7 linked regions of the Kluyveromyces lactis genome follow. The protein of the gene in region 7 purifies or fractionates together with the protein of the main gene of each other region. This does not show direct contact. Links are inferred from orthologs where the notes say so. Each region holds a gene or a part of one and is shown on either strand. Other genes may lie near its edges. The genes, in order: STO1, MUD1, YRA1, CAF20, XRN1, RPS2 and NPL3.

Region 1 (5,070 bases), on a different chromosome or scaffold from region 7:
AAATATGAAGAGAGCTGGAGAATTGGCGGAAAAGTTTAAAGTACCGAAAGAGCCTGTCTTACATGCTGGCATGGAACCAAAAGACAGTGATATGTTTCCTGAACACTTGAAATATGCGGAAATTGTTAAATTTATCTCTGATAGGTTTAGATTCGACGGGGCTTTGCTGTTGAATTTTGTCACTGAATCGGATCTCAGTACAACTTTCAAAACAGCACTTCATAAACTTTTCGAGAATGAAAAACACCCTTATAAGCAGTATTTGGATGAGTTTATCTCGCTTTATGAGAAATTCCGATTTAGTGGACAAGATATTGAACGAAACGATTTCGTAAAATTCTTAAGACTCTACAAATATCTCGCTGATTTATCGAATAATTTGGATTTAACAAGAATCGAGTCTGTCCCATCCCAATTTCTTCACGTTCCTACTGAAGATTATGACACTGATGCCAGATCTAGAACGGACTCCGAATTCTCAACTCCATATTTACGACCTTACCCGTCTGACGCCTTCATGCATAATACAACCCCTGCATCACATGTGGGCTCTCGCTCCAGTAACTTCAGTTACGATATAGATGAGTCTGCAGAACCACCAGAATCTGTGGAAGACCAACAAAGATATCATGACATGCTCACTAGAGTAGACACTTACAATACCGTCATACATAGATGATTAAAATACCGGACAGTTTCTGTAACTTATTAATTAAAGCTTTTGGACTTAATAATTATAAACAACAACGACTCTTATCTTATATAATACACAACGATGCAGAAAGGCATCAAAAAAGAGAACATGACTAGGAGGGTATCATTAGCAAACAACCCATCGTATCGAGAACTTTGATGTCAATTCGAAATCAATATACCTGGATATAAGCTGGCAAGTAGTTCTGGTTCACGCTCATAATTCTGAAACTTCCGAAATCCATCTGTTCAATTGTTGCTTGGTGGGTTCATGTGGCACGCCTTGTAATACATCATTGATGAACTTTTCCGTCAGAACGCTAAACTCATCCGAGTATTTTCTGAGCACACTCTTTAAGAAACCCATAATTGCTTCGTATTTCCACGCAAGGTCTAATGATGGTAACTCTTCGTCTGTTGCCTGAATGTCTTGATCAAGATCTGGAACAACAATTGGATCAATAGTGTTCAATTGCGACAATACCTCGTTAGCAGCACCCACCAACCTGTTGAAGACATACTCAAAAGAACCAACATCTTTGTCAGCAGCCATAGCCAGCTCATTCAAAATTCTGAAAATAGACTCAATAGAAGTAGAGTCGACGAGACTCATGTTTACTCCACACTGTTCGGTCAAAGAAAAGTTTAAAACTGATTCATTTGAAATTAGACCATTATATCTCAAAGAGTCCAAAATCAAGTAACCAGTTTGAGAGTTACTATTCCAGTATCTGACAACCGCCTCACAAATCCATTGATCTTTAATTTGCGGCGACACCTCTACCTGTGCCATAATTGCTTTCAACTCTTCTCTCGAATCATCAATATATTTGTTTGCATGGGAGAGAGATCTACTACCACAGAAAACAATGGTTTGAATCAGAAGAGTCACAGTAAATCTATTGAAATCTTCAATAATTGACCCATGGTTTACAGCAATGTCCTTGAGAATACCCTCCAACTCTGCAACAGATCTGGTGTCAGGTTGCTTGTGGAAGAAATCCAAAAGTTGAGTTACGTTTTCATGGAATGGGAAAGATGGAGATCTGAAATATAGCTCATTGTTACGAAGATCGCCTTCATCCAATTGGAAATCTTTGAAAAGAGAGGAGTAATAGTTAACAAGATCTTCTCTCTTGATGAAAGATGGATCCATGAATTTTTGGAATTCATCAGTAACACTTTCTTCAACATCAGCAGAATTGGACGTTAATCTTAATTCCTTTCTGATCAAATTCTTAATGAATATCATTCTTGGATTGTAAATAGTTCTATTCCACTGAATGGAATCAACTTCCCACTCATTCCATTTCCATGAGAAATTGAAGTTACTCATTTGAATTGAGAACCAATCTAGGAACCTAGCTTTTAACTCGAAGTCTAGTTTATCCAAATTGTTATAGAAATATCTGAAAGCTCTACCGAAAACAGGAGCAATAGCTTTTGGCGAGTTCTTGCAAATTTCTACCAAAAGAGAATAGAAATAGGCAAAAGATTGAGAAACAGTAGGTAATTTAAAAGTTAATTCTAAGATGGCACCAACGGCTAAATCTTCGATTTTGAAAGTACTTCTTGCTGGGTTTTCTTCAAATTGTTCCAAGAGTTGGGCGACAGGAAGGCCCGGTTCAGTGAAAATACCCGCAGTGAAGAAAAGATCAATCGTTACTAATTGTCTCGCAACTTCAAGTCTATTGAACTCCATACTTTCGATTATATCAAGAAGAATATCTTGAAATAACATACCTGTGAAGGTGGTAGTTGGTATCACGGTAGAAAATGGACCCACACTGTTCGGTAAGTAAACCTCGAATGAATATCTTGGAGTTTTCCATAGACTATCGACTGAACCGAAGCCTTTGTCTAAACCTGAAAATGGAATAATTTGTTCTAAAGTTGGTAGATTCAACGGCTCATTAAAAGAATGAATTGCTATTTGTTGGGTCAATAAGGTGTCATAATTCAGGAAAAGCTCGCCTAGTTGTTGCATATCGTTTGCCAATGCGTTCTTGACATTTGGCAAGACAGCAGTAACCCAATGAACTGGTTCATATGGTGGGTTCTTATTGTATGCTTTGAGCAATTGAATATCAGTATCTTTAATGTTATATTCGTTTTCGACAAAAGTGAGTAACTCCTCAACTAAAGTTTTTAACGATTCACGATTATCCGAGTTGAAGTAGAACAAATATGGAACGTTCAACAAGGTGTTGGTATAGATGGCTTCAGAAAGTGGGGATCTTTTCTCCGTGGAATTGTTTAAATCGACGGTAAACTGCAATAATTTCTTGTACAAGTCAAGCAAATCATCTGGTACCACCATTGGCGATAGAATGGAGATAAATCTGAGTACTAACTTAATTTTATCCCATGGTCCAATATCATGAGATTTGGTTTGGTAGTCGGGGTCATGACTTGAATTAAGTAACTCTTGAATTTGGTCAAAGAAATAATTCAAAATACTTTTACCAATTTCTGGTTTAGCTGAATTTAGCACCATGGTTAAAAGAGCAATACCTGGTTGCTTATGAGGTTGTTCCAAGATAACTGCTCTGAAAGTTTTCAAAAGTGCGTTGTTGAAATACTCGTCATTACCGAATTCATGAACAATGGCCTCACTTAGGAACTTGATATCTTCTGGAAAAGCCTTGGCCGATTCACCCATGGTCCTGATATCAGGCATCATGTCCTTACAAAGCATGACAACGGGTGGCAGCCTTTGCCTTTTGGCAAAATGTGGCCTCGCTTCACGATAACCACTCTCTTCTTCATAATCTACAAGAATCATTGTGTTTCAGAAACAGTTGTTAGTAATTATATGCTTTTCCTTGGAAAACGTTAATGTAAGTCTCAGATATATATCTGATACTATTGCTTTCTCTCTGAGTTCTAAACCAAAGTGTCAACCAACCGACTACTTTTAACGAAACTTCTTCGATATTATTCAGAGTAAATCATACCGAAAACTTGAAGTATTTATACCGATTGTCGATGGGATGTCTCTCTAGTCTAGATGTGTGTTTTGTGGCAATCTTGGAACCGTCTGTCATCTGTCTCTCTTTGCTGACGTCGCTGTCAGTTGTACTAAGGGAAAACTTAAATCTGATATAACAATACGTCAGAGATGGATAGAACCTTCAAAAAACAATGCAAAACTCTAACGTCTTGAATGGTGACATAAATTAAACATACCAAAACCTCTTTTTGACATCTCTCGGGTACTTGATGGCGTATTGTTGGATATAATACTGATATCAGTTGGCAAAATCTTGATTGTAACGTTATGAATTCGTGTTTTCATATATTTTAATTTTTTTTCAATTTTCATTTTGAATTCTTGTTATGGAGACGACCAGACAATCAATGCCATTCGATACTTAGGCCAACAGGTACATAGTTGAAATTGTTAAAGCTTACGAATGTCAGGGTTTCACAGCCTGTAGATTACCATAATTAGATAACAATGTGTTTTCAACGTTTTTTAACATATATATGTATATTTCCCAAATTATATAGGTATATGCTTGACTGGAAAAGAAATCGCAGAAATAACGAGACCTTCAAAATCGGAACGAACCATACATGGATTCTTTTCATTTTGCTTCAAGAATCATGTACTTGCTTCTGCAACTGTTCTATCAGTAGATCTTTGGACTGCAGTTGCGTCTTCAGCTCATTTATTTGAAGGGCGAGTTCGTTAGGAGATGGCTTTATACCATGTTGGTATAATAAATTCTGTTCTTCTGCAATGAAACGTTTGAGCCTTTCTTCGTTCAAATTTTGAATCAACTCAACAATCTTTGACGATTTTTTCCTTAATTCCGTTTCGAAATCCAGTAGAGAAAGAGCCTGAGGTGACTCTGGTTCCTTCGGATTCTTTGATTCTAATTCACTTTCTAATCTACCTTCCCTTGCGATAGACTCGGCTAATTCCGTGGAAACCAATTGTAGCTCTTGCATCAACATCATATTTTGTTTCAAAATATTCAAATACTCTTCAGTGATCAACAGGGGTTGTTTGGGATCCTTTTCAGAAGCAAAAGATGGCTTATATGGCAACGCGGAAATAGGTTCAGCCTTCTGTTTTACATATTCTTTCTCAAGACAAGGCACTTCCTGTATCTCTGTGCTTTCACCAATAATCATCGACTTACGAATTTGCAAAGTTGATCTGTCAAATGTCTTTTCCTTATTACTATATTGGTCGTGGTGATTACCAGCAGATGACGCGGAAAAAAGAGAATGATATGATATTCTACGTTTATCGCTGGATGCACCCGATTTCGCCCTGAAAGTATCATTTAACTGGATTTCGGATCCTTCATCTACTGCCATCGAACTCCTGCTGCTTCTAGCGGACGAAGGTACAGTAGTGAGCGG
Region 2 (3,750 bases), about 710 kb from region 7:
GCAAAGACTCTATCTAAACTAGCGAGTTACAATCCATATTAGCACAGATACAAAACAAAGATGTCGCAAGCAACAAAAGAAAGTGCTAAGCAATTAGTGAAGCTGTTAGAGAAGTTCCCTAAGGAGCGTGTTAAGCATCTCATTTCATTCAAAGAGTCACAACTAGATAGGTTCCGTCCAGTTGCCGGAATAGAAACCGGTAGTGCCTCTGAGCAAAGTAAGCCTTCTCTTGCAGAGATTAAGGATATTATCAACAGAACTTCTGGCCCATTAGGTTTGAAGAAAGATCTATTAAAGAAAGTTCAAGAGGCTTTACCAGAAGAACATTTCAACGATACTCAAATCCAAGAACAGATAAGATCGTTGAATGCTATAATGAGCGATAAATATAAGAATTATTATGCTGTAGGGGACAAATTATACAAGCCAGCAGGTAACCCAATTTATTACAAAAGATTGCATGACGAAATCGAAGGTAAGGGTAAGGAAACTTTCTTTACAGCTATGAGAACTGTCGTATTTGGTAAGTAATTTCGGTTTCAGGGTTTTAGAGCTTCGTATGCATATATGTATATATCATTTCTGTCTTTTTCGTTTCTAGTGTATCTGTACTGTACAGGCCTCCATACACTGACTGTAAATAATTTATATTCAATCTATTCTATTTATTCTGTTTATCTGTTGCTGATAAATGTACTATTAAAGCGTAGATTGTTGGTTCCAGTTCCGACCTGTGAACGCTTTGAATTTATTGATTCGCATTGAAATGTAGAATCATTTCTTGGCGTATCCAATCTTTATCGTTACATTCTTGAATGGATGATCATGACCTAAGGTTTCAACAACTTTAGTGGCATTTGCTGTAGAATCATATTCAACAAAGCAAAGATTTCTGACACTGACCAATCTAACCTCTTTAAATCCATCTGAGACAAATAACTTTTCCAATTCTTGCTGAGTAACATCTTTTGGAAGATTTTGAACCAATAGGACATGGTGAGGGGGATTTCCGACAATGTCAAAGACTTTTTTAGTGGAGGAAACTTTCTCCGACTGCTGTGACATAGCAGTCTTGTTGGTACCTTCAGGATTTGTTTTTCTGGGCTTTGAAAGAAGCTTCTGTATGGTTTCTTCGTCCAAATCCTTCTTTCTAAGCTTACTTCTAGCTCTTCTTAACCTTCTTTTCAACACTTCGTTTTTTGTCTTGGTCTTGGGCTGTGAATTATCCACAGCTTTACGTGTACGTAACCGAAGTTCATCCTGTAGCTGTTTCTGTTGTCCCTGGTAGTACAAAGCTGCGAAAGAATCCGTATTCGCCAGCTTTATATTTATCTTTCTCCCATTAATCTTGAGCTTGCCTTGAAATTCTATAAGGAACGTATTACAACTGTCTGAGTCCTTAAAAGTGACGAAACAAGACCTCCTCAAGGGTCTTGAGCCATACCTTGATACCTCTATGATCTGATACTTTTCATCGAGTACTGGTGTAACCGCATCAGCCTCACTAGTTTCTTTCTTCGAGTTCAGATCGAATCTTGTACTAACATCATTTGAAATAGAACGATGATCTGAATTAACACTTGATAGTAGTAAGGCTCTGAATTTGGACAATGAGTCGGGCCTCGACGGTAGATTCGACAGATATAAGGTACTGACCATTGCTTGCCGATAGATACTAGCTTTGTATGGCATGTGTAATAACCTAATAGAGAAGGATATCACAACCTATTAACAAATAGTCCATACGTATTAGTATTAGTAAATTTGTTGACAATGAAAGTTGTTGTTACGTTAAGTTAAGATTATATGAATAACTAAATACTAAATAGAAATGTAAATACAGTGAGAACAAAACAAAAAAAAACGAACAGAGAAACTAAATCCACATTAATTGAGAGTTCTATCTATTAGAAAATGCAAACTCCAACTAAATGGGAAAACAGATAACCTCTTTTATTTTTTTTTAATGTTTGATATTCGAGTCTTTTTCTTTTGTTAGGTTTATATTCATCATTTCAATGAATAAAAGAAGCTTCTTATTTTGGTTGCAAAGAATGAAAAAAAAGGATTTTTTCATACTTCTAAAGCTTCAATTATAACCAAAAATTTTATAAATGAAGAGAAAAAATCTAGTAGTATCAAGTTAAACTTATTTCTTACCAGCCTTGACAGCGGCCTTGGTGACCTTACCGGCCTTGTCAGTCTTGTCAACGGACTTGATAACACCGACAGCGACGGTTTGTCTCATGTCTCTGACAGCGAATCTACCTAGAGGTGGGTAGTCAGAGAAGGCTTCAACACACATTGGCTTAGATGGAACGAACTTAACCAAAGCAGCATCACCGGACTTCAAGAACTTTGGAGAGTCTTCCAACTTCTTACCGGATCTTCTGTCGTTCTTTTCCAACAATTCGTCGAACTTACAAGCAATGTGAGCAGTGTGACAATCCAAAACTGGAGAGTAACCAGCAGAGATTTGACCTGGATGGTTCAAGACGATAACAGTGGCGTTGAAAGAAGCAGCAGCCTTTGGTGGATCGTTCTTGGAGTCACCACAGACGTTACCTCTTCTGATTTCCTTAACGGAAACGTTCTTGACGTTGAAACCGACGTTGTCACCTGGTAGACCTTCTTCCAATTGTTCGTGGTGCATTTCGACGGACTTAACTTCAGTAGTAACACCGGCTGGGGCGAAGGTAACAATCATACCTGGCTTGATAACACCGGTTTCGACTCTACCGACTGGCACAGTTCCGATACCACCAATCTTGTAGACATCTTGCAATGGCAATCTCAATGGCTTGTCAGTTGGTCTGGATGGTGGTTCGATAGCGTCAATAGCTTCCAACAAGGTCTTACCCTTGACGACACCGGACTTGGTTTCCTTTTCCCAACCCTTGTACCATGAAGCATTGGTGGTGGCTTCAATCATGTTGTCACCGTTCCAACCAGAGATTGGGACGAATGGAACAGTCTTTGGGTTGTAACCGACCTTCTTGATGAAGTTAGAGGTTTCCTTGACAATTTCTTGGAAACGAGATTCATCCCACTTAACGGAATCCATCTTGTTAACAGCAACAATCAATTGTCTAACACCCAAGGTGAAAGCCAACAAAGCGTGTTCTCTGGTTTGACCATCCTTGGAGATACCGGCTTCGAATTCACCGACACCACCAGCAATAATCAAGATAGCACAGTCAGCTTGAGAAGTACCAGTAATCATGTTCTTGATGAAATCTCTGTGACCTGGAGCATCGATAACGGTAACTTGGTACTTTGGAGTTTCGAACTTCCACAAAGCGATATCGATGGTGATACCTCTTTCTCTTTCAGCCTTTAACTTGTCCAAAACCCAAGCGTACTTGAAAGAACCCTTACCCAATTCAGCGGCTTCCTTTTCGAACTTTTCAATGGTTCTCTTGTCAATACCACCACACTTGTAGATCAAATGACCGGTAGTGGTAGACTTACCAGAATCGACGTGACCAATAACGACAACGTTAACGTGAGACTTTTCCTTACCCATTTTTAATGTTACTTCTCTTGCAGTTAGGGAACTATAATGTAACTCAAAATAAGATTAAACAAACTAAAATAAAAAGAAGTTATACAGAAAAACCCATATAAACCAGTACTAATCCATAATAATAATACACAAAAAAACTATCAAATAAAACCAGAAAACAGATTGAATAGAAAAATTTTTTCGATCTCCTTTTATATTCAAAATTCGATATATGAAAAAGGGAA
Region 3 (4,628 bases), on a different chromosome or scaffold from region 7:
TAACCCATTCCAAAATATTGGTAGAAACTTTGCGTATTTGTGTATTGGTCTTACTGCTTCTATAGTTATCGTCAAGACCGTTGTACGTGATGCTAAAGTTTCCAAGTTCGACCCGCAGAATTTGAGTGGGGATGAGAAGAAAGATGCAGATTCTTATTACGCAAACCCTGCTCTGGTGAAACCAGGGTTCCCCATGAAGAAAGAAGAAGAAACCACGGAAATAAAAAGGAAAAGTGAATTTGAAGGGGCCGGTTTATCCTACAATACAAGAAAGCGTGGTGATAGATTAGGGTTCTTGGATAGAAGAAGTAACGAATGATTAATAAGCAAGATTTTAATTCTGCAAGGCAATACACGAACCTACCCATCACACTTATTTATTAACAACACACACAAACACTGCAATGACTAAATGAAACAATCTAGAAATATATCCTGTTCTTTACTGAAAGATTCCTCATGTAAATAGTGCTTAAAGAAAGTGAAATAAAATACAAACTATTGATATCAATATTATAATAAAGTTTAGCTAGGTAAGAAAAGATAGGCCGAGCACATAAGAAAGATACGGATTTTTTTGATTGAGAAACCACGCAGTCACACCGGTTGAAATTGAGGAATATAAAACAAACAACAAATGAACTGAACTTCTAGGATGTCTAACGAATAGATTCGAAAGCAGAGACAATCCGTTCGTTATTAAGGAAGACTTTATAATTTCTCAGTCCAGTAATTTCAAGAACGCAATATCTTATTTGGATTCTTCAAAATAGTCAGCCATTTCCTTGTCTAAGTCTTCCAAAGACTTCTTTTCTGGCTTAGCTCTTTTCTTTTGCTTAGCAGCAATGGCTTTCTTGTTTGGACCGGCTGGTTTCTTCTTAGGTTGAGGCTTTGTTGGAGCTGCCTTCTTGTTTGGCGCGGCAGCCTGAGCATTCTGTACAGGGCGGATTCTGTCCAATAATGTCTTTCTGCTTGGATCGACAATCAACGTCAATCTCAATTTGGATTTACCACCATCAATTGGTGCGTTGTGGAATTTCTTTACAGCTAAGTTAGCTTGTTCTGCGTTCTTAAAGGTAATAGTGGCCATACCAGTGGAGTTACCCCTTTCGTTGTAACTCAACAAAGCTTTTTGGACACCACCGACTTGATGGTTGAAAAATTCCTAGTAATAATAAGGGAGCAAAATTTTTGTTAGTGAAACTATTCATAGATAACTGAAAACAGCGGAGTCTTCAATGAATAGTCCTGTAGGAAATCATTCATGTTTACAATTCATCATACATGTACGACCCGGTCAATTCTGTCACGATATGAAGTTAACTCTTAAACAGTAAAATATACCACAAATGGGTTTCATTAGGTTTCGATTTGAAGGTAGGATCTAACATGACAACCAACAAAAAGTAAGTATACTATAACTTTTCTCTTTTCTATTTTTTTTCTTGGAGAGTAAATCTGGAGTCAGTGATGAGATCTCAACCAGACAAGATAGAACATGTTCATAGCAGAATGACAAATGAAAATCGATTTCAAATCCAGCATACCCATCTCGATTTATTACATTCATTGAAACTTGCTTTTCAGTGGCGTTTCAATTTTTGCCAATTTTTTTGAAGTTGTCAAACACGACGACCTTGCTAAAAATGTCGCACTATCTTGAAGATTGAGGCATCAAGCTAAACACACACCAAGGAAGAGGTCAAACTTAATTGTTCCTACAAGGTGTACACCAAGTAATCTTCTTCAAATTCCCAGTTCTTTGCAAAGAGTTAGAAAAAAGAGAATAATACACTGGGCATCATTAAAAAATAGATGCATTGCCAAATGTAATAAATGGTAACAGAAACTCCAGTGACACATAATGTCACAAGAATAGAAGATATGACGAGAAAAAATAGATATACTTCATCTTTTCGGCATTTCCCAATCGTGATTCACTACCGTTTCTCCATCAAATAAAATGTCGTAAATAAACGAAGTTCAGTGCATAATTTTGATGAAAAGTTCTGTCAACTTAGAGGAGAAAAACGGAAAGAAATCACAAAGGAAGGCTTGCTGAAAAGCGAAACCCAGCCAATTGGATAGCTAATTTCGTTTTGTTATATTTCATTAGCTCAATAAAAACTAACTCTGAAATAAATTATTCACACATCAATATCAGACCTCAAAAAAGGTATCGATCGACCGTTTCTTCTTAATCAAATACACGGGAATGTATGATCGTATAGTAAACATAAGGATGGAATTCCACAGGATATATCCGTTGTAAACTTAAATTAACCGCAAGTCTTATTGCAGTTTGATCCGATTTGTTTTCGCAATCAGTACAGTAGCATCTCGACAGTCCTTTTCATTAGAAAAGAACCTACTAAGAGGCCATGGCTAAAATGGGACATACTTTAACAGCGTCTTGGTTAATGTCTCTTGGCAAACCCTCGACATTAACTCTAGTAGAAATAGGAGCTCTTAGCAAAGCTGGCACTAGGGCAGCAGCAGAAGCAGCCTTCTTTGGAACTCTAGAAGGACCGGCACCTGTTCTGGTACGGCTCTTGTTGACTTGCTTAGAAACCTTCTTTGGCCCGGCCTTGTTGTTTCTTCTGGCATGCTTGGCTGAGCCAATAATTTCATCTAATGATTGATCTAGAGCAGACATTGCTTATGAGAGTGTAAAAAAAAGAATCTGATGGGTAGCTGATTCGAAGGAAATAACTTATAAAGTTGCTTGCCTTATGAAGTAGAAACAAAGAGAAATTTGAAGAACAACTTTCATGGAAAAAGGGAAAAAAATTCCAATGGGCAAAAATCTATGGCTCCTTTTATACAAAAAAAATCAAATATCAAACTTTTTGTCCAATTCTTTTCAAGAAAATCAAAACCAGCACGATCAACAAAAGAGGGTAACGATTGTCATTTTCTAAGATCTGCTGCATATGTAACGGTGTACTTACTTCATTCCTGACATGATAAAGATTTTTGTGAATAACAGTCATTTCAAAGACTAAAGATAATGCTCCATAATTTCGTCGAGGGGACTCATTTGTTTCCAACAAACATCGTTTAGCTTTATTTCGTGAATTGTAAGGCCGCAACAACTGAAAAGTAAAATCCGTTGATATATAAGATAGACAGCTATTCGATCAATCTTATGTTCAAATGGATCGCTTCCGCAGATAGACCCAAGTAGGCTGTGGCGGGAATCTTACAACGCTTAGTATCCAAACATTCTTCTATGCCTTCCTGTCATAAGCGAATAGAAGCCGAATTGAATCCATTTACAGTCCGGGTAATTTCATGATTATTTCACTGTTAGCGATATTATTTGGTTCATTTTATTTGATCGGTTCAAAAAGAAAGACGATGATGGGTCAAAATCGTGCTATTTTACAGCGAAATGATACAGACGTCTCACTGGCAAGTTAAATCTCCGAACGACGGTCAGGTGGTAAACGGACTGACTCTGTAATTAAAGAGGAAAGACCGCGCGTTCACCAGTTATGAAACACTCTTCCAAGGTAAAAACAGGATTGAACTTTCACCTACGACAATCTCAAAATGAACACACACACTCTAACCCCAATGTTCAATTTATAATAGCGGCAGAATTTGATAACAAATCTGGGCCGATAATAAAGCATCAATATCCAAAGACAATCCCTGGTTTTAAAACTATTGGGAGTGATTCCACTTGTTCTCATTTGGCCAGTTTGATGATACCGAATAGTGTGGAGAACCATCCAGGTAAACCAGATTTCACTGTTTTTGTCTTATACAAGAATCAAAACGTTTACCAGTTGTTTCCTGTATCCAAAAATAAGACTAAAGGTACTGACTTGGATTCCTCACTGATAATTGAAGAGGAAGACTTTGAAGAAGAACAAGAAAATGGACTGCGAAGTGGTAAGATTGGATCAATTAGAGATGATAGGCATTTAGAGGAAACTGAGCCACCATTATTTTTCTTAAGTGTCGTGAACACGTTTTTAGATAATTCAAATGATCGCGGTGCTTATATAAAAGCCATTGCACTGGGTACTACTATGACAAACTTTTACACATTTAAACCATTGTTAACAATGGTGCTTGATCACTACATGACATCGAATAACAACGATATTAAAATACTTATAGACTGTTTTGACATGATTAACAGTCTTGATCTCTCTTTGGTCATAAGATTCCATTCCAATGTTGTACTACAAAATATTCTAAACTCTATCAATGACGAAGAAATTACATCCAAAATATTTGATGCAAACGAAAACTCTTTGCCCAATATACTTAGGGTTAATGAGCTGCCCAAAAAAGACAAGTTCGGAAATGAGATTCAATTTAAAAACAGGATTCTTGAATATAAGTTCTCTACTTTCCGTCCCAAAGTTCTACCTGCTTATTTTACGAGGATTCCTTTGCAAATTGATCTAATAAAATATGATGCCATAAAAATAGATACGAATTATAATAATTCAATTTTGAAATTACTTGCGAGATTAATTCCTCTCTTAACTGAAATTCCCGATTCCACATATTCTTGGAGATTAATTATTAACTCCACAGAGCGTTCCAAGGATGAATTATGCCAATTTGTACTCGCCCTATCCAATCTCATAAACGGGTTTTCTTCGGAG
Region 4 (3,166 bases), on a different chromosome or scaffold from region 7:
ATAGTATCAGCTAAAGCTGTAACGTTGGTTCAAAGGGAAGTTAATCAAAGGCGGTAACCACGTACGATGGCTCCTGTTCCGATTTATGTCAAAGGTGGTATTTGGACGAACCTTGAGGATCAAATATTAAAGGCGGCTGTTCAAAAATATGGAACACATGCATGGAGTAAAGTAGCTTCGCTTCTACAGAAGAAGAATGCCAGGCAATGTCAATCTCGTTGGAATGAATTTTTGAATCCCAGTCTAAACTTCAAACCATTCAGCCAGCAGGAAGATGATAAACTACTAGATTTAGCGAAAAGAATTCCAAACCAATGGAAAAGCATCGGAGAAATGATGGGTAGACCTGCTCAAACATGTATCGACAGATATAATATCCTCCTGGCGATTGATAAGGATGATTTAGAGCTTGCAGCAACTACAGGGGTACAGATCGGTGAGATCAACCCAAATAACGAAAGCTTACCAGCCAAGGCTGATAAAGATGAGCTACTTGACGAGGAGAGAGAAATGTTGGCGGAAGCTCGTGCCAGGCTATTAAACACTCAGGGTAAAAAGGCTACTCGTAAGATAAGAGAACGTATGCTAGAAGAAAGTAAGCGTGTTGCATTCTTACAGAAGCGTAGAGAGTTGAAACAAGCGGGCGTTGATAGTAAAATCAAAGCTCCCAGGAAGAAATATTCTTCGCAGATGGATTACAACGAGGATATTGCGTATGAACAGCAACCACTACCGGGTATATACGATACCTCAAAGGAGGATGAACAGACTGAGAAGCTACTCAAGAGTTTTGAGAAATTGGTAGAAAGGAAAGGTTTACTTGACAGGAAATCTGATGAAAAGAAAACCATACCACAAAAGAGAAGGCAAGGCGAACAAATAACGTCATCAGTAACAAAATTAGATTCTGTACTAACTGATGAGTACAAGAAACCTAAACTTGAGCTTACTCCTGCTACTTTAAAAGGATCAAAACGGAAGATAAACAAAACAACATCTATACTTCATTTATTTGAATCATTGCCTTCTCCTAAGAACGATTTTGAAATTGTATTGGATGATTTAGATGAAGAAATGGAATCCACTGATGCTTTTAATACTGAAAGTTCGTATGTTAATGGTAAATATCCCCTAGAAGCCTTAATATCTTCCACGGAACATCAATCGGAAAACAAGGCAATGGAAATAATGGAATACATACCGACAGTATTCCAAATAAAAACAGAATTACAGGTACCCAGTCCGATAGTAGATCCAAAGAATGAAATTGACCGTGAATTGAATCGTATAATCTCAGCAAAGGAGAATGGTAACCCCATTTACAATTCCACGGAAGTAAACAATTACTTAGAAGAGATCATTAATTCTGCATCCACCACCGAAGTGCCCAGCACTGTCTTACATCCCAAGTTGGAAACTAGCTTAAAAACTATAACACCGGCTACGGAGCACGAACTGCTCGGCATGGAACGAAAAGTGCATGAACTGCGAACAGCGCTTGAGGATTCCGTCAAGTCTCACAGAGAGGCTGTTTCACAACTTTCACAAGATTTTGAAGAAAAACTACATCCGACAGTGTCAGGCTTAGCATACCAATACTACACTGACTACATGAAGTACAGGAACGACCATAAGACTATGCAAGAAGAGACACAATCTCTTGCGGAACAGATCAAACTTGCCCAGCGTAGTCAATGATTACCCGGACCCTTCTTTTTGAGTCTTCCTTCCATAATCATGAAATTTTCAAATTATGAACTTAAAGATGAAAAGATTTACGAAATTGCAAACTTTAAGAACAATATGAGACAGTTAGCAATTGCTCTGTGTGGACATAACAATTCTCCCCTTTATTTCTACTGGAACTCTTTCGAAGCCATCACAAAGCAAATACTAATTCCCGGGCCACGATGATCAGGTACACAGAAGAAGAACTTTTACAATTAAGACCAACCGAACCAGTTAAACCAAACTTCGACGTTGATGAATTCAACGCTATAATTGAAAAAGTGAAAGAAATCCAAGAAGCACATGAAGAAGAATTTTCTCACTTCAGAAGAAGATCTTCTCACCACCATGCTAAACCAAAATTCAAGCATTTGAAACCAAAAATTACTACCGATGAGGAAGGATGGTCTACACTAGAAACTGCTCCAGCGGTCAGAAGAAAGTCTGTGGCTGAAGAAGAAGAACCAACCATTGTCATCGCTCAAGAAACATTGAAGGTGAAGCCAAACAAACACATTTCATCCTCAAGACCAGCTGATGCGAGGGATATCGTCGCAGACAAGCCTTCAAAGGCTTTCAATGCATTTGCTGCTCTAGAAAGTGACGAAGAAGAAGAGCAAGAATAGGGTAGACATATAAATGATAGAAACGTTTAATCTTATATCGTATTGTTATTAACGAGTCCTATATCTTTACTCTTTTGAAAGTCCGTTAATAATATATTTATTTGTTTTAATGATTCCACTTGGGAAATTAGTAGCAAGAAACACATAATAGTTGCTTAACATAATCGTTGCAAGTCTAAGTATGATTCTATATAGTTGGTAGGATGTGACTTCTAGTAATACCTTCGTTTGTACAATGCTGCATGTTTGCAGACGTGTTAACTTTTGACAGGTTTTTTTTTTCCATGGAAAGAAAGCTTTATGTAGAACTGAAAATAACTGTTAAAAGTGTTTACAGTATGGCACATTCAAAACAGGTATGAATGACGAAACTGCCTTATCATCAAAAAGGAAGGCATTGGCTATCGTTCTGTGTACCAAGGACCACTTAGCTTAGTTGAATTTTTTTTAGTGGATTTAAGATCCTCATTCACAGGAAATTCGCACTAAAAGTTGTGCCATTAATTTGATTCAAAGAATTTAGCTTGAAATTTAGTCTCAGATATCAGACCTCACAGCAAAGACATTGGCGTAATTCACGGTCATTTACTTATACCCAAGAATGGTGAAACTTTCGACACTTTTGTCCTTGGTATGGTTGCCATTTGTTATTGCTCAAGATTATTATGCAATTCTTGGAGTCGATAAGCAAGCCAGTGAGAAAGAAATCAAATCTGCTTATAGACAATTGTCCAAGAAATATCATCCTGATAAGAACCCAGGTAACGATGAAGCTCATCATCACTTCATCGAAGTCGGTGAGGCTTATGATG
Region 5 (4,895 bases), on a different chromosome or scaffold from region 7:
TCAAACCGACGTTATGGCTTTTCTTTTTAGAATCATTGACCAAATATCTTGAAGTAATTTTTGACAAGAAGAGAGGGTGGACACGAGCTATTTTTGAAAACACTTGTGTTGGGTAGAATCTCAAGGCTTGAGAATCCAATTTCGCTCTAACTTTTCCGATGTTAGGCTCTGCTCTGAGAGAACCCTTTTTGACTGTAAGTTTTAATCTAGTCTCACTATTATAACCATCAACGGTCGCCTCCCCACCATACGCATAATCACCTAAAAACACAACTTTTGAACCTTTTGGAAATTCTTTATTAATTGGTAACGGCTCTTTTTCAATATATCTTTCGTCCTTATTTTTTACGTCCTCTACGATTAATTGTAAAGGATAGTATTCGATAGTTTCATTGAAAGACTTAGAATAGGAACCATCAGAGTTTCTCACCAATCCATTTACTGGAACCACTTTAGCCAAAGCAGAAATGTCATCCAAAAGAATGGCCTTTGTCCTTTGATAATTCGATTTGAGAGTCATCTTCAACTCTCTAAATTCTTTCCTTTCAAAATCCTGAGGCTTTCTTTCAATGACCTTTGTTAATTTGCCTGACTTAACTCCTTCATACACAGTTTCCTCTGTAATCAACGACAAAAGTTTAGATTCTCTTAGAAACGGCCATCTTGAATAAACAATCTTACCCATATGTCTTTTTGCTAGATCTGACAGAGAGATGCCATTTTCCTTGTAAAGGTCCTGAATATGCAACACCATAGATTGTTGTTTAGAAGGGAAATTGAAGACAACAGAAGAATTATAAGCAAGCTCTGCAGTTAGTGGTAGTGTCTTTAGGGATGGGAAACCGGCCAAAGAGCTAGCTCCGAGTTTAGCGCCCTTTGGCAAACCAAATAAGAACTTAACGTTTTCCATCGATTCTGGAATGAATTCCCTTTCGATACAATGATTGTGTTCAATATCATTAAACAACCCCGCTAGTGGTGTTTTGTAAACTGTGTCTACCTGAGGATTGAATATGAAAATCAGATCAGTTCCGAACGAATTTCTTTTCTTTTCATCCGGAGAAAGCTTAGCATCATAAGGAGCCATTGCTTCTACTAAACGCTTTTGATCCACGAATGAAATTTTGACGACAGCTTCCCAGTCTGCTGTTTTGCCATTTAGATCCAACTCTACTTCGTTAGGATAGAAGTCCAAGATAGGAGAGTGTTCATCATACATGAGTGGTCTGTACACAACTGGAATCAAATTCTTTGATCTCTCAGGCAAGACGGCCATCAATTGTTGGAAGGGCTTGAAAGGCTGTCCCTTGTGAAATTCTATGTTCTGATCTATACCTTTGATCACATCTGATATACGAGGAGCGTAATGATATCTGTAATACCAGGACCAAGATGGACATCCACGATAATAGTAGTATAAAACCCATTGTAAACCTCCGACATAGTTTTCTGTCATTTCTTTTAGACTATCAGTATCATTGATGGAAAAATCTAATTTATCTTTATAGTATTGATCTTTCCACTCAACGAATCTCTCGCTATAAATTTCACGCTCTTCTTCTAATTCTTCTTCAGATGCAATAATAATACCTTGTTCATATTTCTTAATAGAACGTCTTGTTTCGTGAATACGGGCTTCATGCTCTTCATCTGTTTCTTGCACATTGATGGAGTCTAAATCCAACTTGAAGTAGTACAAATCTTTTGATTTAGAATGAGCAAGAATTAAACCCAAATCAAATGCGAATTCCTTCAAGAAATCCAGGTTGGCCCGAACCAATTCTTTATCCTCAAGAGGGAAAATTTCGAAATCGGCATCCTGTAATTCAGAAGTGACCTTCCGTTGAACGGTTTTCAATAACCATGGTTTTACGGCGCCAATCAATTTCTTTTGTTGTTTCATCAACAACTTTTTACCCATCCTAGTACGTTTACGCTCACCTTCCAAGGAAATATTTTCAAGTTGTTGATTGAACCATTCAACGTCAATATCTTTCTTCTCAAAGTTAAGGTATTCAAAATCGGACAAGTACTTCAACCAAATGGAAAATCTTGCCAAATTTATCTTACCTTGTTCATTAATGTAACCATCCATATGTTGGAGAGCTTCTTTAAAAGTTTGTAATAGCACAGGGAATGCACCTTTTTTCAAATGCAAATCGGGCAAATTTGGTAAGAAATCATTACCGATGGTAAATAATACAAAGATGAAATCATCTAATACTCTTTCAAAGTCGTATTCAAACTGCACAGAATCTGTTATTTCTTCGAACTCTAATGCCAAATATTCTCTCAAGATAGACAAATGCAACAAGAAGAAGTTCTGTGTTTCTAGAGTTTTCACAGAAGACGAACGTTTACCAAAAGTAACTTCTTCTCTTAATAAACAAAAGTGGTGATCATGGGTGGATAAACCTAGGATGATCAAATCAGCATCTAACCCGTAGATACAATGTCTTGTATTTGGATTGTAATCCTCTTGTGCTCTAATTGCTCTGATGTAATCCATGATCTTATGTTCACCTTCACCAGGAACCTCATGCCCGGAGAAAATAACCTTCACGTTCTGCCATCTGGTATCGTTGGTGATCTTGTCATGGATGAAATATTTCAAATTCTCGGTTAATTTTGCCATAAATTCTGTTCCTGGGGTAATAGCGTTGGAATCAAATGGCTCTCCCTTAGGCAACTCGTCACCATTTTCAATGGCCTTCTGCAAAGCCTTTTCGGCATCCATGGCAGTTCTGAATCTACGAGCTCTTTGTTGGTTCATCTTTGCTCTTGGGGCCACACCATCGATTGCCATATAAAATGTCTGTTTTGGTTTAATAGTATGGAAAAGATGATCAATATAACTGAAAATTTTGGAATAAACTTCTTCCTCTGATAGTCTTGAATTCACCTCGCTACCATCACCATGCGTACAATTATGCAAAATAGAATTCATATCCAAGTACAAATTGTCGAACTCTGGAATCTGTGATCCATCGATCAATTGAGAAATTTGAGGCCATCTCTCAGAGATGAAATGAAAGAATTTTGGAATACCCATTTTTAGTTAAGCCACAAACCGTAATTAATTGAACACTTTCTGAGGTTTGCTTTACTGACTTTTTTCCTCCAACAATAGAAAAGATCAACAACAACTGGGATTGGATAGTACCAGTAGTATACGTTGCCGAACAATGAGTAACCACTTTTAGTGAATTGTTATAATATACCCTGATATGGATGAAAGACCCTGAAAGTACATTAACCAAAGCTACTGTTTAGTAACATAATCGTTAAGGTAATTTGGTAATTCTTTCCAATGTTCAATCGGAATATTTTTCTTGGTGGTGGCAAAATTTTTTGAGACGAGGTTTATGGGTTACCCGGATCCATAAGTTCAAGCTTTTTTTTCTTGTTTTATACTCTTTGATGGAAGAGTTGAAAACATTTTGAATATGGAAACTGAGAAAGTAAACAGATGAGGTTAAAAAGAAAGATGGAGAGAGCAGAATTGAGACACCAATTGATACTGAACAGTAAGTTGAATTAACTGAATTTACGGCGTGTAAATATCTAATACTCTTATTACTGATAGAAACGAAATGTTTGGCCGTTCTTCTTCTACAGGTCCTCCAGTAGGACCAAGCACAGGAGGAGGATTATTTGGGAATACGGGCAACCAGCAAAGCACTAGCGGTGGTCTTTTTGGTAATAACAATGCCACATCAGGTAACACTGGAGGAGGGTTATTTGGAAACAATAACAATACAGCGACACAGACTGGCGGAGGATTATTTGGCAGTAATCCAGCAGGCACCAACAACAATACGAACCAAACCGCAGGAGGACTTTTCGGAAGTTCTAATAATACAGCCACTGGCTCCACAGGTGGCCTATTTGGTAACTCAGGAGCCGGGTCTGGCGGAGGCTTATTCGGGAATAAGTCAGCACAACCACAGACCACTGGTTTTGGAAGCTCTGGAACTGGAGGAGGATTATTTGGATCCAAACCAGCACAACCACAGACTACCGGTTTCGGAGGCTCTGCAACTGGTGGAGGATTGTTTGGATCCAAACCAACTACCGGAGGCCCATTCGGAAATCAACAACAGCAATCCCAACAATCTGGTTTAGGAATGTTTGGACAAACACAAAATCAATTTCAACAGCCACCACAACAACAGATACAACAGACTCAACAGAGTGCCATTAATTTCATTAACCAATTAGCTATCACGCCGATGACCAAGATATCGGAGCTTCCGATTCAAATTCGTCAAGAAATCGAACAATTGGACCAATTCATTAGAACGCAAGTGTCTTTATCCAAACATCTTGAAGCTGATCTACAAGATCAAACTGAACTATTGGATTCAATCCCTCGTGACATCAAGTATCTACAAAAATTGCATTTCAACGCAACAAGATCACTATCATCAGATTTGAAACGAATCGATGCCATCAAGACACTAGTGGATAAAGATGTTAAACAATTGGAAAATTTTGCTATAATGTTGCAACAACTAGTCAGTAAGGGATTCAAAATATCAAACGTTGAGATAGATAAGTTCTTCCAGGAAAAATTAATCACATACAAACACAAATTAAATGACTACAACGACACTCTAAGCAATATTGACGACGCAGTGTCAGGTCTAGAGAATGATCTCTTTGGGAACGATTCATCCGAAGATGATGATACCAAGGTCGGTGTTAACATTATCGTCAGCGTTCTAATCGAAGAGTTCAAACTATTCATGGATACAGCTGAAAGAATAGCAGAACTGCATCAGAAGTGTAAAGAAATAATAGTTAAATAGTCGATATTATTCTTTTAATACTATAAAAAAAGAAAGCGTTCAAGAACATATTACCTATTGATGCAGATCACTAACTCCTGCACA
Region 6 (3,482 bases), on a different chromosome or scaffold from region 7:
GGAAATAAAACCAATCATACACAAGCCAGCACCAAAACCGGTCATTTCTAAACCTTCTAATCCAAAATTCGCGCCAAGATCGGTTGTCCCATTGGAAGAAAAGATTTTGGAACAATGTAAGTTTGGTCCAAAATGTACCAATAAAAATTGTCCAAAGAGACACGCAAGGTCGTCAATCATGTGCCGCGAGGGTGCGCAATGTACAAGAATAGACTGCCTCTTCGGTCACCCTATCAATGAACCTTGTAGGTACGGGGCTGAATGTAGAACATACGGATGTTTATTCCAGCATCCTCCAGAAAGGGTATTGCCTGAAAAGCCAAAAAAGCCTGATACAGAAAACACCAACGGTATTTGGTTCAATCCGCAGCTGATTGGAAGTGGAAATTCCTCGAGTAACGAGAGACCATTTGCTGTACCAGAATCTAACGTACAGTCAGTTCATGCTGGACAAGAAGTAGATGGCGATGCTATGATGATGAGTTAACATTCCAATCTACTCCGCTCTATTTAATGGTGATATCCTTAACTGTTTTATTTGAATTATTATTATAGTGTTATATCTATTAATTATTAAAAAAAAAAAAAGTCTTAAAAGGTAAAAAAATACTGTAAAGTAATAAAAAAAAAAGGTCAACCGGAAGAAAGACTACTGTAAAAAAGAGACTGGCAGTGTTTAAATTCCAGAAGCCTATTAATATGATTGGCGTATCTTGACCTGTACTCTAATGGTCATATAAGAGAAATCCCTTTTACCTTGATTTTATCACTATCTCTTTTTTTTACCATATGTCTTTTTCTCTGGTTTTTCTTGCTACGAAGTGTATAGGACAGTCATATAGTTTCCCTTAGTTAGTTTGTCACGTATATTGATCATTTATTATGATCGATCCTAAAGGGTTAAGGTCAATTATAATGAGTGTGAATATATATGATATGTAGCTTGTGAAGAGAAGAGGAACAATTGGTAAAATGTCAACAATATATTATTGTTTCAGAGAAAACATACTGACAGCTATAAAAAAATATCTATACAGCACAGTTATAATATTTTAAAGATGACATTTACAACTTCTTCTTGGAAGCAGTGGCGTAGTCGGCGTAGACATCCATTGGGGAAGGAGTCAAAGCTTGGACTTCCCACAAGTTTGGAGTCAAGAAACCGTAGGTGTTACCGATGGCAACGAAAGCGGCCTTCAAAGTGTTTTCCAAAGTTCTGGTGGAACCAGTAGAAGAGGTGTAGACATCTTCAACACCAGCCAATTGCATCAACTTCTTGACAGCTGGGGAGGCGACGATACCGGAACCTCTTGGAGCTGGAATCAATCTAACGGAAACGGAACCACACTTACCAGAGGTCTTGGTAGCCAAGGAGTGAGGTTGACCCAAGTTGGTACCCCAGTAACCTCTTCTGATTGGGATAACGGACAACTTGGCGATGATGATACCGGCTCTGATGGCACCAGCAACTTCCTTAGCGGTCTTAATACCCAAACCGACGTGACCGTTGGAGTCACCAACGACGACGACAGCCTTGAATCTGGTTCTTTGACCAGCTCTGGTTTGCTTTTGGACAGGCTTGATGTTCATAACTTCATCCTTCAAGTTTGGCAACAATTGGTCAATGATTTGGAATTCCTTGACTGGCAAAGAGTGCAAGAAGATTTCTTCGATGGAAGAGATCTTGCCGGCCTTCACCAATCTACCCAACTTGGTAACTGGAACCCAACCCTTTTCTTCTTGGTCTCTTCTACCACCTCTTCTACCACCTCTGCCACCTCTGTTGGCACCACCGAAACCACCTCTACGTGGAGCTTGTTGACCTTGAGCTTGTGGAGCAGACATCTTTGATTTATCGAATTGTACTTAATAAAGACTTGTCGGGATTGGATCACGGAAAGTTGATGGATAGGTAACTTTCAATCGACAATAAATACAATGCGTGGGGAGCTTCGAAGGAGAAACAAATAGAGATTATAAAATTAAATTACTTAACGTTTGGTAAGATGCAGCTTTGTTTAGTGATGAGATAGATAGGTCTCATGTGTGAAAAAAAAATATCCGACGTGTTTGCATGGTTGTGAAGCTAGAAACCTTTGAAAAACTTTGATTGTACTGGCAGGGTAAGAGGATATAAAGAGGCTATAAATCACGTGTCAAGATAGTTTTGTTTAAAGGTCAATATTTCCTATTAAAGAAAGTGGCGATCATTATTGAAAAAAAAGATGGAAATTGAAATTGCCGAATGTACGGGTGTTAATGGAGAAAAGCAGTCCACAAAATTTATATCCCGACTAGGAGATATAATTTGGTTACCCTAGGTTACCCCAGGTCCGGCATGCATTTTGCTTTCTCAGTTTGCTTTCACCGCAATCAGGACATTCAGTCAATAGGACACAGAAAAGTATACAGAAGAACAGCCCTTATTTTACGGTAACAACATTATCAAGCCATGTTAGTAGCAAATACACTCCAATTGGCCTATTAGACAGAAGCAAATTCATCTTCTGAGACAGAAAAGTGATTACTTCTATCGCTATCCAGCGTAAATGACGTTTATGCCGCACACCTTCTCAGCATCTTGGAAAGAAAATGTTCAAACGTGGAACAGAGAAGCCAAACTAACGCAGCGGGAACCGGCTGTAACCGCTCCATCCGTATTACAATACATAATACATAAAAGCACTCACACTACATCACCAATAGTTACACTTCGTCACACTGTGACATTTCATCATTGTTCGACTTTTAGCTTTTATCGTGATTGGGATTGTGATTGTGATTGTGATCTCCCGTTTTCTTTTTTTTTTTTTGTTTTCTAGATCAGTTCTGAGCACGGATATTTAAGTAGCGATATATCCCTGAAAAGTACGATATTATATAACTGCGATACTACTAGTAGGGTATTGTTTGAGTCTTCTCCACAAGATTGTCTTAGTTTAGTAACCTCAGGTCCAAATCGAAAAGTTCAAAGTTTGGTTCAAATCAGTTCAGAATCAAAGCCCATACCGGTGTTTTTTTTTAATAGTTCCTTTAGACAGAAATACCATAATCAGTTTACCCTTTTTTCTTTCTATAAATTCAACCCCGAAAATATAAAGAGACAGAAAAAGCCGAAAAAAAATAGTGCTCATTAAAATAAGGTAAACTATCGTTACAATTTTGTTAAGGCTTTAACATTTTCTATATTCTCTCTATTATCAACTCTTTAGGGATTCAGTTTCACAACAAACGTATCAGTGTATCAACAGAAAATAAAAATGTCATCAGAAAAACACGACGCTCAACACCACAACCAGCAGCAAGAAAAACGTAAGGCAGCTAAGGACGTCAAGGAAGCCAAGGAGACCGCTAAGAATAAGGCTTCACATGCTGCTCATGATGCCCATGATGCCGTTGATAAGGCTCATGACGAAGTTAAAAAACATCTCGATGAATACGAAGGAATCTTGAAACCATACTGGGATAAGCTAGTCGAAATT
Region 7 (3,635 bases):
TTTACCACAAATCCAAGTCACAGAGGTCTTGATCTGTTTATCCGGTGGTAACATAGGATCAACCTGTCCTTCGGTTTCTACAGAAACATCTTCTTTCATTTGGATTGGTAATAGTTCCCTCTTCTTAGAACCCCTTCTACCATAACCTTGATATTCTTTATTCAACCTCTGTAAGGTATTGTTCAAATCGAAGTTCCCGTATGTAAACGTCTTAGCATTAGAAGGATGGTAATTATTTCTGTGGAAACTGATTAAATCTTCATATTGAAGATCAGTCATTTTAGTTGGGTCACCACCAGAGTTATTCAAGGATGGATAATAGCTTTCTTGAAACTTAATCCAGAAATAATAGTTAGCATTGGATACTTGACCCTTCATTTCATTGTATACAACACCTTTGAAACCTATATCGCTGTTTGGATCATCAACCTTAGTGTGTTCAAGCCTCCAACCTTCTTGTAGGAAATCTTGCTGATTCAACAATGGATTTAGAGTTGCATCAAGGTAAACGTCTCTTAGATTAGCAAAATCCGTCTCATTAGTGGTAGCAAACGGGTAAAAAGTATAGTCATGACCAGTCATAGCGTTCATGAAGTTTGCCAACGATCTGTTTAACATCTTGAAGAACGGATCGCGAACAGGATACTTATGAGAACCGCAAAGAGTTGTGTGTTCCAAAATATGTGGCACACCAGTTGAATCCGGGGGATTGGTTTTGAATCCGATACTGAACACGTTGTTGTTATCATCTCTATCAATATGTAAATGTTGTGAACCGGTTTGGTTATGCAATAAATCCACGGCTGTTAGCTTTAGTTCAGGGACAGGAAGTAATCGTTTCACTTCATATCCGTGAAAAACGCCACCTACTGGGTACTTCCTCAGCGCCCGAGACTGTGCATATTTTGTGGCATAGTTACGAATTTGAAACATGGTATTTTATAATGCAAGAATTCTCCACCTGGATTTAGATTCAATATTCCTTCGCTTATATTTCAAACCCAGTTTTTTCGATCTTGGTATATTAATCAATGATTACTGTCGTCAACGATTCTATAACGATTTATTGCGAATAAATAGATAAAAGAAATGCAAAGAGAAAACGAACGGTCAAAATATCGGAAATATCCCCTCTAAACTGCTAGTTCGCTTGGCTTTTCGTTTCTTGCCTCTGAGATAAATTCGCTAAATTGACTTATCAATATGTTAAGAGACCTTTGGCATGCTCTAGTATCTTTCCTCCAGGATTCCATACTATCGAAGAAAAACAGCTATGAACTACGGTCTCACTTCTGACGAGTTAAAAAAATGAAAAACTGAAGTTCAAGTCACGTGATACATGTGTCACTCTTACCTTTCTGTATAACAATGGTAAATACAAGTAGCAATGAGAGCATTTGATCAATATAGCCTCTCAGATCGTATTTGGTAGGAGTATGACTTGTATGAGGGCTTATATCTGTGCATGCGATACTTATCAGCACTCATTCTAAAAAGACTTGTACCGAGGATTCCAGAGTTTTACCCTACCTACCAAACCTTGTTTGACACTATTCTCTTCTGTCTTTTCTTTTCCCGATGTTCATTTAAAATTTTCACTTTCTCCTATATATAAAGACATATTTAAAACCTGGTTTTTGGAAAAAAAATTCTACTCCATCATCGTTGAGTGGCGTTGCAGTATTGTTTTTGACTAAGATATTAGTGTTTCACTTCTTTTGCTCAAGGTACAACCAAGAACACTTACTCGCGAAATATCAAGATGTCTGACGTTCCTCCTCCTCCAGCTGTCGAAGAAGAAACCTATGAAAAGCCATATGAAAAGCCATATGAAAAGCCATATGAAACTGCTCCACCACCTCAAAGTTATGAAAATTTCAATAATAGAGTTGATGACGATGAAGAGCTTTCTGATACCAGACTATTTGTGAAGCCTTTCCCTCCAGATGTCACTGATGCTGAAATGAAGGAAATTTTCGAACCTTTCGGTGCTTTGAAGGAAATAAAGATTTTAAATGGGTTCGCTTTTGTTGAGTTTGAAGAAGCTGAGTCTGCTTCCCAAGCTATTCAAAACGTTGCCGGTAAAATGTTTGCCGACTACCCATTGGAAGTTGTATTTTCCAAGAAGTTAAAGCCAAGATTCAGAGTCATTATCAGAAACTTGCCAGAAGGCTGTGCTTGGCAAGAATTGAAGGATTTGGCCAGAGATAACCAGTTAGAAACTACTTTCTCCAGTGTCAACACCAGAGACTTTGACGGTACTGGTGCTCTTGAATTCCCAACCGAAGAGATCCTGCAGGAAGCCATTGAAAAGTTGAACAACATCGAATTCCGTGGTTCAGTTTTGGCTGTTGAAAAAGATGAAAACCCACCACCAATCAGATCCTCTCGTGGTCGTGGTGGTTTTAGAGGCCGTGGCGGTTTCGGTCGCGGTGGCTTTGGTGGCCGTGGTGGTTTCGGCGGTCGCGGTGGTTTCGGCGGCCGTGGAGGCTTCGGTGGTCCAAGAGGTGGCTTTGGTGGCCGTGGCGGTTTCGGCGGTCGCGGTGGCTTTGGCGGTCCAAGAGGTGGCTTTGGCGGTCGCGGTGGCTTCGGTGGTCCAAGAGGCGGTTTCCGTGGTGGCCGTGGTGGCTACGGTGGTCCAAGAGGCGGTTACGGTGACTTTGGTGGTCGTGGCGGTGGTTACGGTGGCCGTGGCGGTTACGGTAACAGAGACTACGCACCAAGAGAAGACTACCAAAGAGGCAGCGGAGAAGGCTACCAAGCGCGTGAAAGATCTCCAGTTAGAGATTAGAGGATTTCTGGAGTGCACAAATAGCTTTCATCTAAGAATGTTGTGAAATTACTTCAAGCATCAAACCGTGTGTCCCTACCATTATCATCGGAGTTGGTATTAGCTTTCTTTTGTCACTTTTAACAGAATTATTATGCTTACTATCTTAGGGAGTTATAAGCTCTTGTTTTCGCCCGTTGTTTTCATACTTTGTCGTTACACCAAGAAACCTCTGAACTTTACTTGGAATTTGAATTTACTCACAATTGTTGGGAATGAATTGAAGGTATCAACCTTGATGGATTGAGAATAAAAAAAAAAATTAAATATTAGTATAGGAAAAACCTCCCATCATCAGGAAAAAATCTTTTTACTTGTGGATCCGAACAGAACATCAAGGATCGTGAGGAGAAGGAAAAAATGATTATGTTTTTATAGTGGATTATTATTGTATTGTTTTATTATTTATCTTTGCGACTAGAAAAGAGGTCTTCCAGAGTAAGGAAGAAGTAGTGATGATCATGGAAATCAATTTCGCGAGGGAAATTGGTTGTGTTTTGTAACTGTGCTTGAAAATCAACCTTAACTCCAGCTCAGAATTGTTACAAATGGCACATATATGTCAGCGTCAAAGACTGCGCTTTTAAACGAATCAACAACTTATTGTTTCTTGCATCCGATCAGTGGATTTTGTCTTAGTCCATTTTCCAATTTGTGATTCTTAATCTTGCATTGCCGACATTACAGTGCATCAACCACCATTATTTTGTGTCTCTTCAAGAAAATGGTAATGTAGAATTGTCTTGAACTTGTAGGAGGCCTACGAAGGCCTTGACGTTATCCTGATGTGTACGAATTTGATTCT

Evidence for each region.
Region 1: the proteins of NPL3 (region 7) and STO1 purify together in Saccharomyces cerevisiae (affinity purification with western blotting; 7 studies listed by BioGRID, with this or other methods). This does not show direct contact. The link is inferred for Kluyveromyces lactis from reciprocal best matches to the Saccharomyces cerevisiae genes NPL3 and STO1.
Region 2: the proteins of NPL3 (region 7) and MUD1 purify together in Saccharomyces cerevisiae (affinity purification with mass spectrometry; 3 studies listed by BioGRID, with this or other methods). This does not show direct contact. The link is inferred for Kluyveromyces lactis from reciprocal best matches to the Saccharomyces cerevisiae genes NPL3 and MUD1.
Region 3: the proteins of NPL3 (region 7) and YRA1 purify together in Saccharomyces cerevisiae (affinity purification with mass spectrometry; 3 studies listed by BioGRID, with this or other methods). This does not show direct contact. The link is inferred for Kluyveromyces lactis from reciprocal best matches to the Saccharomyces cerevisiae genes NPL3 and YRA1.
Region 4: the proteins of NPL3 (region 7) and CAF20 purify together in Saccharomyces cerevisiae (affinity purification with mass spectrometry; 3 studies listed by BioGRID, with this or other methods). This does not show direct contact. The link is inferred for Kluyveromyces lactis from reciprocal best matches to the Saccharomyces cerevisiae genes NPL3 and CAF20.
Region 5: the proteins of NPL3 (region 7) and XRN1 purify together in Saccharomyces cerevisiae (affinity purification with western blotting; 4 studies listed by BioGRID, with this or other methods). This does not show direct contact. The link is inferred for Kluyveromyces lactis from reciprocal best matches to the Saccharomyces cerevisiae genes NPL3 and XRN1.
Region 6: the proteins of NPL3 (region 7) and RPS2 purify together in Saccharomyces cerevisiae (affinity purification with mass spectrometry; 3 studies listed by BioGRID, with this or other methods). This does not show direct contact. The link is inferred for Kluyveromyces lactis from reciprocal best matches to the Saccharomyces cerevisiae genes NPL3 and RPS2.

Annotation. Positions count from the first base shown.
Region 1 is NC_006042.1:1,605,546-1,610,615, forward strand, and holds STO1 (Sto1p), read right to left. Parts: upstream 3,479-5,070; coding exon 911-3,478; downstream 1-910. Other genes in the region: DLT1 (Dlt1p), read left to right, coding at 1-679; KLLA0_F17545g (uncharacterized protein), read right to left, coding at 4,294-5,070. UniProt on the Saccharomyces cerevisiae protein: Component of the CBC complex, which binds co-transcriptionally to the 5'-cap of pre-mRNAs and is involved in maturation, export and degradation of nuclear mRNAs.
Region 2 is NC_006038.1:785,348-789,097, forward strand, and holds MUD1 (Mud1p), read right to left. Parts: upstream 1,693-3,750; coding exon 775-1,692; downstream 1-774. Other genes in the region: CBP6 (Cbp6p), read left to right, coding at 61-531; TEF2 (translation elongation factor EF-1 alpha), read right to left, coding at 2,150-3,526. UniProt on the Saccharomyces cerevisiae protein: Involved in nuclear mRNA splicing. The principal role of the U1A is to help fold or maintain U1 RNA in an active configuration. It is the first snRNP to interact with pre-mRNA.
Region 3 is NC_006041.1:254,987-259,614, reverse strand, and holds YRA1 (RNA-binding protein YRA1), read right to left. Parts: upstream 2,657-4,628; coding exon 2,402-2,656; intron 1,166-2,401; coding exon 752-1,165; downstream 1-751. Other genes in the region: COI1 (Coi1p), read left to right, coding at 1-319; AFI1 (Afi1p), read left to right, coding at 3,498-4,628. UniProt on the Saccharomyces cerevisiae protein: RNA-binding RNA annealing protein. May have a role in pre-mRNA metabolism. Component the TREX complex, which operates in coupling transcription elongation to mRNA export.
Region 4 is NC_006039.1:633,883-637,048, reverse strand, and holds CAF20 (Caf20p), read left to right. Parts: upstream 1-1,910; coding exon 1,911-2,354; downstream 2,355-3,166. Other genes in the region: CEF1 (Cef1p), read left to right, coding at 67-1,698; SCJ1 (Scj1p), read left to right, coding at 2,956-3,166. UniProt on the Saccharomyces cerevisiae protein: Acts as an inhibitor of cap-dependent translation. Competes with eIF4G1/TIF4631 and EAP1 for binding to eIF4E/TIF45 and interferes with the formation of the eIF4F complex, inhibiting translation and stabilizing mRNA.
Region 5 is NC_006042.1:2,089,392-2,094,286, reverse strand, and holds the start of XRN1 (chromatin-binding exonuclease XRN1), read right to left. Parts: upstream 3,053-4,895; coding exon 1-3,052. Other genes in the region: FG-nucleoporin NUP49, read left to right, coding at 3,594-4,811. UniProt on the Saccharomyces cerevisiae protein: Multifunctional protein that exhibits several independent functions at different levels of the cellular processes. 5'-3' exonuclease component of the nonsense-mediated mRNA decay (NMD) which is a highly conserved mRNA degradation pathway, an RNA surveillance system whose role is to identify and rid cells of mRNA with premature termination codons and thus prevents accumulation of potentially harmful truncated proteins.
Region 6 is NC_006042.1:901,517-904,998, reverse strand, and holds RPS2 (40S ribosomal protein uS5), read right to left. Parts: upstream 1,846-3,482; coding exon 1,066-1,845; downstream 1-1,065. Other genes in the region: mRNA-binding protein NAB2, read left to right, coding at 1-487; OM14 (Om14p), read left to right, coding at 3,261-3,482. UniProt on the Saccharomyces cerevisiae protein: Component of the ribosome, a large ribonucleoprotein complex responsible for the synthesis of proteins in the cell.
Region 7 is NC_006038.1:75,677-79,311, forward strand, and holds NPL3 (mRNA-binding protein NPL3), read left to right. Parts: upstream 1-1,762; coding exon 1,763-2,791; downstream 2,792-3,635. Other genes in the region: CYM1 (pitrilysin family metalloprotease), read right to left, coding at 1-933. UniProt on the Saccharomyces cerevisiae protein: Involved in mRNA processing and export. Required for efficient splicing of a large set of pre-mRNAs by efficient co-transcriptional recruitment of the splicing machinery. Remains associated with the mRNP during early steps of translation elongation.